3 linked regions of the Cricetulus griseus genome follow. The protein of the gene in region 2 interacts with the protein of the main gene of each other region in a biochemical or structural test. Links are inferred from orthologs where the notes say so. Each region holds a gene or a part of one and is shown on either strand. Other genes may lie near its edges.

The links.
Region 1: the proteins of Sgta (region 2) and Bag6 form a complex in vitro, tested with the Homo sapiens proteins (4 studies listed by BioGRID, with this or other methods). The link is inferred for Cricetulus griseus from reciprocal best matches to the Homo sapiens genes SGTA and BAG6.
Region 3: the proteins of Sgta (region 2) and Ubl4a form a complex in vitro, tested with the Homo sapiens proteins (3 studies listed by BioGRID, with this or other methods). The link is inferred for Cricetulus griseus from reciprocal best matches to the Homo sapiens genes SGTA and UBL4A.

Annotation. Positions count from the first base shown.
Region 1 is NW_023276806.1:231,665,174-231,668,817, forward strand, and holds part of Bag6 (large proline-rich protein BAG6), read left to right. Parts: intron 1-379; coding exon 380-509; intron 510-884; coding exon 885-1,082; intron 1,083-1,270; coding exon 1,271-1,523; intron 1,524-1,723; coding exon 1,724-1,801; intron 1,802-1,916; coding exon 1,917-2,024; intron 2,025-2,140; coding exon 2,141-2,253; intron 2,254-2,341; coding exon 2,342-2,429; intron 2,430-2,712; coding exon 2,713-3,098; intron 3,099-3,644. UniProt on the Homo sapiens protein: ATP-independent molecular chaperone preventing the aggregation of misfolded and hydrophobic patches-containing proteins.
Region 2 is NC_048598.1:101,842,363-101,846,069, forward strand, and holds the start of Sgta (small glutamine-rich tetratricopeptide repeat-containing protein alpha), read right to left. Parts: upstream 2,843-3,707; 5' UTR 2,687-2,842; intron 1-2,686. UniProt on the Homo sapiens protein: Co-chaperone that binds misfolded and hydrophobic patches-containing client proteins in the cytosol. Mediates their targeting to the endoplasmic reticulum but also regulates their sorting to the proteasome when targeting fails.
Region 3 is NC_048604.1:1,347,365-1,351,108, forward strand, and holds the start of Ubl4a (ubiquitin-like protein 4A), read left to right. Parts: upstream 1-1,520; 5' UTR 1,521-1,634; coding exon 1,635-1,682; intron 1,683-1,842; coding exon 1,843-1,948; intron 1,949-2,198; coding exon 2,199-2,407; intron 2,408-2,523; coding exon 2,524-2,598; coding exon of another isoform or gene 2,599-2,634; exon of another isoform or gene 2,635-3,270; coding exon 3,271-3,387; 3' UTR 3,388-3,744. Other genes in the region: Slc10a3 (P3 protein), read left to right, coding at 1-674. UniProt on the Homo sapiens protein: As part of a cytosolic protein quality control complex, the BAG6/BAT3 complex, maintains misfolded and hydrophobic patches-containing proteins in a soluble state and participates in their proper delivery to the endoplasmic reticulum or alternatively can promote their sorting to the proteasome where they undergo degradation.

The sequences.
Region 1 (3,644 bases), on a different chromosome or scaffold from region 2:
AGATGGAGAGAACCTTTGTGGACTTGGAAGGCAGAGTGGTCATGGGTGTAGTGTGAGGACCAGGAAGGACATGAAGGGAGGAAAGTGGTTGCTGGGGGTCTTAATGGTCTTAGTGTTGTGGGATCAAAGGACATCTCTCGTGTAGCACTATTGTCTCTGAGGCAAGATGATCTGGATGCCTCCCGAGCTGTGGTTTGCAGAGGCCTAGTCTGGTTCTGAGCCCCTCTTTGCCTCCTTTGCACAGGACCATACTGGGACATGGGAGCATTGCTTTCTTCTCACCGTCCTTTGCTTGTCTTAGGAGAGCAAAGAGAATACCTGGGGAATGGCAGGGGGTCCCTGGGGACAGGCTCAGCTCAGTGCCTTGGTGTTTCCACAGCCACCCTTCCCCTGCGGAGCATGTGGAGGTGCTCCAGGAGCTGCAGCGCCTACAGCGCCGTCTTCAGCCCTTCCTGCAGCGCTACTGTGAGGTCCTAGGCGCTGCTGCCACTACAGACTACAACAACAACGTGAGCCTTGGGGTGGCCTTCTTCCCTCATACCTGGAAGCAGCAGGTTGAGATGCAGATAGCTCTTCCCTGTCCTCAGGGTTAGCACAGAAATCCCTCTCTCTAGACGAGTGGTCTGCGGTGATGGGAATGGTGACAGTCTTTGGTCCTATTGTGTCACTAATTGTTTAGGAAGCATACAGAGTGGAAAGGAATTATACCTGGTTACTTAACCTTTGCTGTGTTTTTGTGGAAAATTCTTTATGTATATTGAATAGAAATTGAAAATTGAAAAGCTTTGGTTCATGTAGATGCTTCCAAAGACAGAGGACATGGCAGTCTCAGAAGGCATCATCCCTATTAATATCCTGCTTTTCTGGGTTTGACCTGGGCACAGCATGAGGGCCGTGAGGAGGACCAGAGGTTGATCAACTTGGTGGGGGAGAGCCTTCGGCTCCTGGGCAACACTTTCGTGGCACTGTCTGATCTGCGCTGCAATCTAGCCTGTGCACCCCCCCGGCACCTGCATGTGGTACGGCCCATGTCTCACTACACGACCCCCATGGTGCTCCAGCAGGCAGCCATCCCTATTCAGGTGGGTTCACGGAGCCTGGCTGGAGGGAGAATGGGCAGGGTAGCATCTGATGACCCAAATGGCTGCTGGGAGGCTAGAAAGCAAGAAAACTGTGGTGACAGAGCATGTGGCATCTCTGGAGGTGGCTCTTGGGGTGGTCTGGGTTAGGCCCCTGTGTTTGTCTCATGTCTGCCTGTTCTCTCTTCCAGATCAATGTGGGGACTACTGTGACCATGACGGGCAATGGGGCCAGACCTCCGCCAACTCCCAATTCGGAGGCAGCATCCCCAGGCTCTGGTCAGGCCTCTTCCCTGCCTCCATCTTCTACCACTGTTGATTCATCAGCTGAAGGAGCTCCCCCACCGGGGCCAGCTCCACCACCAGCTGCCAGCCATCCACGGGTCATCCGGATTTCCCACCAGAGCGTGGAGCCTGTGGTTATGATGCACATGAACATTCAAGGTGAGCTGGGGGTAGTTGCTGGCAGAAAAGAGCAGCCAGGGCGGGAAAGGGCGGGAGGGAGGTGCTTTGTGGGAGGAGAGCCAAGCCTTCTTGTTGCAGGGGACAAAAGGGGACAAAAGGCCTGAGAGTGGTGATGTCAGGAGGTACGGCCAGGCCTTGGCCCTGCCATTCTTACATTTCTGGCTGTCTTTCCGGCTCAGATCCTGGATCACAGCCGGGTGGTGTCCCGAGTGCTCCCACTGGTCCCCTGGGACCTCCAGGTCATGGACAGACCCTGGGTAAGAATGAGGTTATCAGAGCAGGCTGAGAGCTCTGGGTAGAAAAGGGGTAGGGCTGAGTGGTGGGTGGGTTGAAGGGGTCCAGGTTCAAGGTTACATCAGACCCACCCCCCAGGCTCCACCCTCATCCAGCTGCCCTCCCTGCCCCCTGAGTTCATGCACGCCGTCGCCCACCAGATCACTCATCAGGCCATGGTGGCAGCAGTTGCCTCCGCGGCCGCAGGTAATAAGCTGGGAGGGGAGGCCTGGGAGGCGGGGCCTAGTTCATGGTGGTGGGTTTTGTCTGCTGACAGGCGGGGACTGAACCCTCAGCCCTCTTTGGTCTCTTTCTGTCCACAGGACAGCAGGTGCCTGGCTTCCCAACAGCACCAACTCGGGTGGTGATTGCCCGGCCCACTCCTCCACAGGCTCGGCCTTCCCATCCTGGGGGTCCTCCAGTCTCTGGGACTCTGGTGAGCAATGGTTGGGGAGTACCAGTGGGAAAAATCCTGGCGGATTGTGTGGTGGGGGGCAAGACTGAATGCTTTTCCTGTCCCCCAGCAGGGCTCTGGACTGGGTACAAATGCTTCACTGGCCCAGATGGTGAGCGGCCTTGTGGGGCAGCTTCTTATGCAGCCTGTCCTTGTGGGTGAGTCGTGTTCTTTCCTAGCTCAAACTTGCATGCTTGGGTTGCTATGAGTTCAAGAACATCCTAGACTGTTGACTTAATTTCTAAGATAGCTTGGGCTACTGAGGAAGATTTTGGGGCAAAGGGACATCCATGTTTACTGTGTTGATGGTCCTCTGTCCTGCTCTGTATGTCCTAGTCCTCATAGAACATCTTAGTTCTTGTTTTTCTGCTGGAAAGACTAGAACGGGCAGTTTTAATCTGGTTTTTGTACAAATTGTACTTTTTTTTTGGTTCCTGACAGCTCAGGGGACTCCAGGAATGGCTCCTGCTCCGGCTCCGGCTCCAGCTCCGGCTCCGGCTCCGGCTCCAGCTCCGGCTCCAGCCACGGCTCCGGCTGCAGCTACAGCCACAGCTCCAGCTCCTGCTCCAGCTCCAGCTCCTGCCACTGCTTCAGCTAGTGCTGGCACTACAAACACAGCTACAACAGCTGGCCCTGCTCCTGGGGGTCCTGCACAGCCCCCACCTCCTCAGCCCTCTGCCGCTGACCTTCAGTTCTCTCAGCTCCTGGGGAACCTGCTGGGGCCTGCAGGGCCCGGGGCTGCTGGGCCTGGCATGGCTTCTCCCACCATCACTGTTGCAATGCCTGGTGTTCCTGCTTTTCTCCAGGGCATGACCGATTTCTTGCAGGTGAGTGGCTGTCCTTCTGCCCTTTTGTCCCCCAGCCCAGTAGAGCAGTGGTACTTTATTGCCAATCTGTAGCTGCTGAGTAGCAGCTGTAGAGATGTGAGAGGGGGAGGGCCTGCCTGAAAATCAGCGCTGTCCCTGTTTCCTGGTCTGACCCATTCAGAGGCAGGGAGGTAGTTACTTGGTTTCTGGTTTCATGCCCTCTGTTGAGTGTCTGTCCCTGAGTGTTCTGGCTTAAGAAGTTAAGATCAGAGCCAGTTTGCTGCTCTTGCAGAGGGACCTGGGTTGGATTTCCAGAACCCACATGATGGTTCACAACCATCTGTAACTCCAGTTTAAGGGATCTGTTTCCCTCTTCTGGTCCCCATGGAAACCAGGCACACATGTTTCACAGACATATAGGCAGGAAGAATGCCTATACACATTAAATATAGTTATTAAAAATAGGTGGTGGTTGTTTTAAGTCAAGATCAGAATCTAGCTCTTGCTGGGCGGTAGTGGCGCATGCCTTTAATTCCAGCATGTGGGAGGCAGAGGCAGGTGGATTTC
Region 2 (3,707 bases):
CAGAGGTGACCTGCCGGGAGTCACAATCCCCGCCAGAAAGCGCTATGATAAATGCTTGGCTCAAGTCTTTGGTAGGACTGGAACTTTCTGGGCACCCAGCTAACCAGTATGTGCATGCACTTTGGGGATCATCAGAACACTGAACCGGTAAGACTCATCCTCCCACTTATAGCCAGGCCTCCTGCTGTCACCCCAGCATATGGGAGGCTGTAGGGGGACAATTGCTAGAGTGTAAAGCTAGCCTGGCCTATAGTATGTCTTTGTCTTCCCCCTCCCAACAAGTTTACAAGCAAGGTCAGTGTGGTAACTTCTCAGCTTGAACACAAGGCTCAAATCCATTGAAGAGTCTGGTGAGGTCCCTGGACTGGGTCCCAGTGGGCAGTGTTCACCCAGCATACAGATAGCCCTGGAATGAGGGGGACCCAGTTTCAAATCAAAACAACAGGAAGGGCTTGCAATACAACTCACCTGACAGAGCCAATGCCCAGACAGGAAGCAGCAGCTGGGACCTCAGACAGTGGCTCCAGGGGCAGAGTCCACAGATAATCCCTTACCCCACAAAAGTAGGTGCACACACAATCTTGGGACCCACATAATCTGTGCAGATGCCTCAATACTGATGAGCCACTGGGCTAGGGTTTCATCTTTAACACTAGAGCTCACTATGTACCCCAGGGGAAACTCAAATCTAAGGCAATCCTCCCGTGTCTGCCCCTTGAGTGCTGGAATTACAGGTATGCTTCTTTACTGGCATGCTCATGCATGCATCGGTTTCAGTGTTCACACTCCAGTCAACCTAGGTGTCCTTCCTCCAGATACCACCTCATTTTTTAGAAACAGTGTCTAACCGGGTGATGGTGAGGCTTGCCTTTATTCCCAGCAGCAGCCCTGTCTTGAATGGAAACAAGCCACGCCTTTAATCCCAGCAGAGGCAGGAGGGACGGACCTCTCTGAGTTTGAGGCCATTCTGGTCTACAAAGATACACAGAGAAACTCTGTCTCCGGGGGGAAAAAGAAAAAAATAAAAAACAGAAAACAGCGTCTGACCCTGGGACATGGGGTTGAACAAGGTAAGGCTGGCTATCCAGAGGGCCCAGTGACCTGTCGGTCTCTGACCTCCCACACTGAGATTACCACTTATGGCTTTTTACATGGGTGGGTGTATGGAACCAAATTCGGCTGCTTCTCCTCCCCACCAGGAGCACCCTTCATTCTGGACCACGCTCCTGACCTCCACTCAGTGTCAGAAGTCTGAAGCCCTTTCAGTCACAGCAATCACAAGTGTCCCCAGACACTGCCCAGGGTTCCTGGGGACAAGAATAGCCAGAAAAAGGAAAGATCACTCAAACAAATAACCAGAGACAGGAACAGACCAAAGCATAATAGCCAGTGGGGACCCTGTGTCCTCTCCAGCACCCCACCAAGGCTGACAGGCCTATAGGATGCTAGCTAAGGAAACTTCGGGACATTTACCCTCCGGGTGACAGAGACATTCACAACAATTTCAGTTGGCTTGTTTTGGTTTCATTGGAGGTGGTGTTTTTTCATTTTCTTGTTTGGGTTTTTTTTGAGACACGGTTTCTGTCTGTAGACCAGGGTGGCCTTGAACTCAGAGATCCACCTGCCGGTGCCACCCAAGTGTTGGCAATAAAGGCATGGAACTGCAGGCCTGGTTTTTGAGAGACAAAGATCTACTATGTAGCTCAAGACGGCCTCGAACTTCATTCCCATCTTCCAGTCTCAGCCTCCCACGGACGGGATGACAGGCAGCTTACAACTGAACTACCGGCTATTTTAAAATCCTTTTCAAAATTAATTATGATGTCAGGTGTAGTGGGGTACACTTTAATGCTGGGAAGAGGGGGGAGTCTGAGGCCAGCCTTGTCTACACAGAGAGTTCAAGGACAGCCAGGGACACACAAAAACTGTCTCAACAAACTAAAATCAACTGTTCTCACAATGTGGTCCATGTAACTTGAACTTCTTAGGTAGCCCAGGCTGGACCTTGAAACTCTCCAGATAGCCCAGGCTGGGCCTTGAAACTCTCCAGATAGCCCAGGCTAGGCCTGAAGTCCCGGTGATTCAAGTGCCACACCCTCCCAAATGCAATACTGAGTTACAGGTTAAGGACCAAGGACCTGAGCCATTCTCTAGGGCCCTTGTTTTTGGTCACAGCTCTTTTGAATCCTGTGTACAGTCCTGGCTGGCATGGAACTCCTCCCTCAGCCTCCAGTGCGCCAGCACACCTGCCTCACAGCCGTCCAGAGAGGGCAAGCCACCTGCCCCAGTATGCACCGCAGGCAGACGGAGGCCCTCGCCCTCCACCCCACGCTCCCACCCCCCCGGTGCCCGACAAGCACCACACCGCTCGGAACGGCAGCGGTGACCACGTCCACTCGACACAGGAGGGAAACCGACAGAGCAAGGTCACGACGCTGGCGAGCGGCGAAGCCCGGGGCACCCCGAGGATGCGGAGGGCCCACACCCAAACGCCGGCCTTCTCTCCACAAGGAGCGCCGGGGGCGCCGCCGGACTCAGTTTCCCCGCTGCGCCGCCCGCTCACGTGACCGGTGGGGCGCCGGAGGGCGGGCCCCGAGCCACCTTTACCTTAGCGGCTCCCGAGCGCCGCGCACCCCGAGCCACCGACGCCCACGCCCCTCGGGGCACGGCGAGCCCCCCAACTCACCTCTCAGTCGACCGAAGCCCCGACCCACCGACGGCTGCGCCTGCGCACCGCGGCGCGCACAGGACCCGCCCTCGGGGCCACGACGCCTGCGCAGAAGGAACCCATGGCCTCCGCGTGCCCGTGCTGCGCGTGCGCCTGAGCGCCGGCCAAGCGACGGAGCGGAAGTGGCGTCACACGGGGCGGGCACACCCGGGTCGTTGGAGAAGCTGACCTCGGCGGCGTCCGGAAGACCGGAAGTCTGTCTGAGACGCCGCGAGCTGGGCCCGCGTGGGGCCTGGCGGGGCGGTGGCGGACCCCGGTGACGCCGAGGCGGGTCACGTGGCACGGAGCTGGTCACGTGCTGCAGCTCCCTGCGTCACAGCCCGGAATCGGAGCTACTGTCTGTTGCTAGGCTGTTTTCCTGAGAGACCCGCCTGCCTCTATCTCCCGGGTGCTGCGGGTGCAGGCGAGCGCCGCCACCCCCAGCCCAAGCTAGACTCAAACCATCGCCGCCTCCATGGGCGTTAGTGACCCTGTCTTTAATCCCGGCGCTCGGGAGGCAGAGGCAGTGCCCGGACAACCTAGTCTTAGAGAGAGAAATCCCATCTTGGAAAATGGAAGTTTATGGCAATCCCCCTGCATCAGCCTCCGAGTACTGAGATGTCAGGCTTCTGCCTTTCCGCTTACCATGGATGTACCGTTATGGTTACTAGAGTAAGTGTCCTGGCTTGTCTAGGGATTTGGAGTGGGTGGTAAGGCAGAATAGAAAAGCCAGGCACCTTTGAGGGACTTGGGAAGAGACAGGACCCTGTCACCTCTACATCCAGCTGAAGCCATCTCTAGCAGAGAATTACCGATTGTTTAAGGCTTTTCTTACTTCCAGGCTGGAAACATACTATTTTTTAGCAATCTCACCAGAAATTCCATTTACAGGGAAAGGATACAAACTTAACTACACCCTTTTGCAACCCTGTGACTTCTGCTTTCCTTTCATCAGATTGGTTTTAACGGCCAACTTGACACAACCTAGAACCACTTAGCA
Region 3 (3,744 bases), on a different chromosome or scaffold from region 2:
TAGCTCTTGGCCTCATCATTACCTGCTCATCACCTGGCGGTGGGGGGAGCTACCTCTTCAGTCTCCTCCTTGGAGGAGATGTCACCCTGGCCATCTCCATGACTTTCATCTCAACAGTAGCTGCCACAGGTTTCTTGCCACTTTCATCAGCCATCTACAGCCGCCTTCTCAGCATCCATGAAACACTCCACGTGCCCATCTCCAAGATACTGGGGACTCTGCTGTTCATCGCCATCCCCATAGCAGCAGGTGTGGTAATCAAGTCTAAGCTCCCTAAGTTCTCAGAGCTGCTGCTACAGGTCATCAAGCCCTTCAGTTTTGTACTTCTCCTGGGTGGCCTATTCCTGGCCTACCACATGGGGGTCTTCATCTTAGTGGGAGTCAGGTTACCCATCGTACTGGTGGGCTTCACAGTGCCCCTGGTTGGCCTTTTGGTGGGCTACAGCCTAGCCATGTGCCTGAAGCTGCCAGTGGCCCAGCGGCGGACAGTCAGCATTGAGGTAGGGGTACAAAACAGCTTGCTAGCTTTAGCTATGCTGCAGCTGTCTCTGCGTCGCCTTCAAGCAGACTATGCCTCTCAGGCCCCCTTCATTGTGGCACTGAGTGGTACCTCCGAGATGCTGGCTTTGGTTATTGGCCAGTTCATCTACAGCAACTTGTTTCCTGTTCCATGAGGACCCTGGATCAAGTTTTATAACCCCAGCCCCCATACTCCATCCACTGTCCCCACAGTTCTGTACCAAAGGCCTTTTGTTCTCATGCACTATGCACTCAGACAAATCCAGGCTTTTTTTTTCCAGCTTTCAGTGCCAAAGAGGCCATGCTGAGTTAGAAATATATTTCAATAAAAGACAAAAGCAAGCTTGGGTCCCTTCCAGTCTTTGTCCCTTGGAGTGTATGGATGGGGATAGGAAGAGTGTGTCTGGGTTGATATGGACCAGGATGGTGAACAGGCTTGGTGACCGTGCACAGAGCCCACTCTCTCCTTCCTCTGTGCTTTGCACATGGTAGACAAGTGTTGTACCTTTGAGCTATATCTCCAGATCTGCAAAGGCTTTTCTCTATCAGAACAGGGCAGGACTCTGTTCTATAATGAGTGAAGAGATAGAGGCCTAGGTCCACTACTTTGGAGCCTCGGCCAGGATATTTTTGCAACCAGACTAGAAAGGAAGAAGTAGAAAGCCATTGGGCTATGGCAGGTAGGACTGGACCATTTCTGTATCTGAGAGACACTACTACATGTTTGCCCTGATGTGGTCCACCAGCAGGGTAGGAATTAACAGGTCAGGCCTTGCATGAGGCTGACATTCTGGTCCTTCCTTTCAAGCCACAGCTCCCCGGTGAAGCAAGCCTGACCCTACAGATTCCTCGCTCCTATCCCAGTGGGCGGAATGGCCCCACTTCCCTGCACCAAAGCCGCTGGAGGCTTGTGGGCCCAGGGCGGTGGACGCTACCCCAGGCTCAGGCAGGCGCAAAGGCCTGGAGGCGGGACCGGGCGGGAGCCACGCGGCGGGCTCGCCCCTTTCACGGCTTCCGGCGGCGGCGGGCGGTTCCGGCGCGCGCCCGGGGCAGCGGCGCGCGGCAGGGGACCATTGGGGTTTACATTGGTCCTAGTGGACGCGGCTGTGGGCATCATGCAGCTGACCGTGAAGGCGCTCCAGGGCCGGGAGTGCAGCCTACAGGTAAGGTTACCCTGCAGGCTGCTACACTCACACACTCCTGCCGCTGGGGCCAATGGCGGGCGGGGGAGGCCAGGAGAGCTAACCTCAGGAGGGGGCACTAGGGCTGCATCGCCCAGGGAATTCGGACTAAGCCCTTGCCTCTCCACCTCGGCCGGATCAGGTGCCGGAGGACGAGCTAGTGTCTACACTGAAGCATCTGGTCTCGGATAAGCTGAACGTCCCTGTGCGCCAGCAACGTCTGCTGTTCAAGGGCAAGGCCCTAACAGGTAACCAGGGAAAGGAGCCATCCAGGGACCCCCCACAGGAAGTAGGAAGTTGGAAGTTGGGGGACGGGATGTACAGGCCAGTGTAATGGATTAGAGCAGTGGCTGCCACTAAACCTTGGAAAAGTAGCTGAGACGCCACCACCCCATAGCCAGATGCTGCAGTGTTTCACTCTAGCTGTCCATGGCAGGATTGCTCTCTGGCCACCCCCACAACAATGAGGAAGGAACCCCACCAATCTCTCTTTGGCAGATGAGAAACGACTGTCAGATTACAACATTGGGCCCAATTCTAAACTCAACCTAGTCGTTAAACCTTTGGAGAAGGTGCTGCTGGAAGAAGGGTCTGCCCACAGACTGGTCGACTCCCCACCCCCACCCCTCTGGCAGCTGATCTCCAAAGTCCTGGCCCGTCACTTCAGTGTAGCAGATACCAGCAGGGTCCTGGAACAACTACAGAGGGTGAGCAGAATAATTCTGGACCTCCAATCTTAATGTTTCTAGCCCCAGCCCCCACCTATTACAGCATACCCCTTCCTGCTTGCACCCCCTGAACCCACCTGGTCTTCTCTTCTCAGGATTATGACAGATCTCTGAGCCGCCTAACACTGGATGACATTGAACGTTTGGCCAGCCGCTTTCTACACCCTGAAGTAACTGAGTCTATGGAAAAAGGGTTCTCCAAATAGCATTTCTGGGAGTGGGGGGAGAAATCCCAGGTCAGGCCACAGCTGCATGTTGCATTAAATGTGTTCTCATGTCGCAGTTTGGCTCATAGTGATAATAATAGCTGGTATGTACCCAGTTCTTGCTAGGTGCTAAGCACTACTCAAAGTACTTGGCCTGAATTCTCTTCTGCCTTCCACAGGACAGTTGAGGCTGCACTGTAGAAACACCTAGCAATGGCTTGGGACAGCCAGAATCCAAGTCTAGCCAGCTGTAGAAGTGCCTCTGTAGGAGAAAGAGTGTGTTGTTTTGAGGGATGGGCCTTAACATTCCCATTTAGCCCACTCAACATACACACTCAAGTGACTCCCTCAGGAAGCCACTAGTCCCTGTCACCTGTCCTCTAGTATGTCTGGCATACCCTTGGCAAATCTCCATAGGAAGCCAAGTGGTAGCCATCCAGAGTCCCTCTGCTGCTGCAGCCAGTGTGCTCTTGATGAATGACAAAGTCAGGGGCTGGAGGATCAGAAAGATACCCTAGCTCCGTTGTATGGCTTAAGTCAAGTTTCTGTGCCACTTAGGTCCCCTACCATTGAGTCTGTTAGTGGTGACCACTCCTCTGACCTGAATAAGTTTCCTTCCCTCTTTCCCGGCTCAAGGTGGGAGTCTGCTATCACCAACTGCAGTGCCATCTTGTGTTCAGTAAGCAAACTGAAGCCAAAAGTGAAGTGGTAGCCAAGCATGGGCCACAGATGGAATATCCTGGGCCTTTGTGACATAGCTCTTCTTGGGGGGACCCTATCTGCTTGGCTCCTCCTGGAAGTCGGTCTCATCCATGAGGGACAGCAGGTGACTCCACAAAGCAGTGTCACAACTAGGATTCTTCCTGGGTCTCCTCACCCAGCGTTCTCCCACAGCATGAGACGGATGCTTCCTCTGCCACCTGTGTACAGGGACTTTCAGTTTGCACACCTTCATTGCTTAAGAAGAAACTCAGGGTGCTGAGGAGGAGATAGAAATGTAAGCTGAAGACAGTGGTTCTTCTTTTCACTGAACCTATGCCTGGGTGCTAAAGGTCATGTAAGTACTAGCTCCTTTGAGGAGGACCCCCTGGGAGCAGTTGAGGCTGGAAG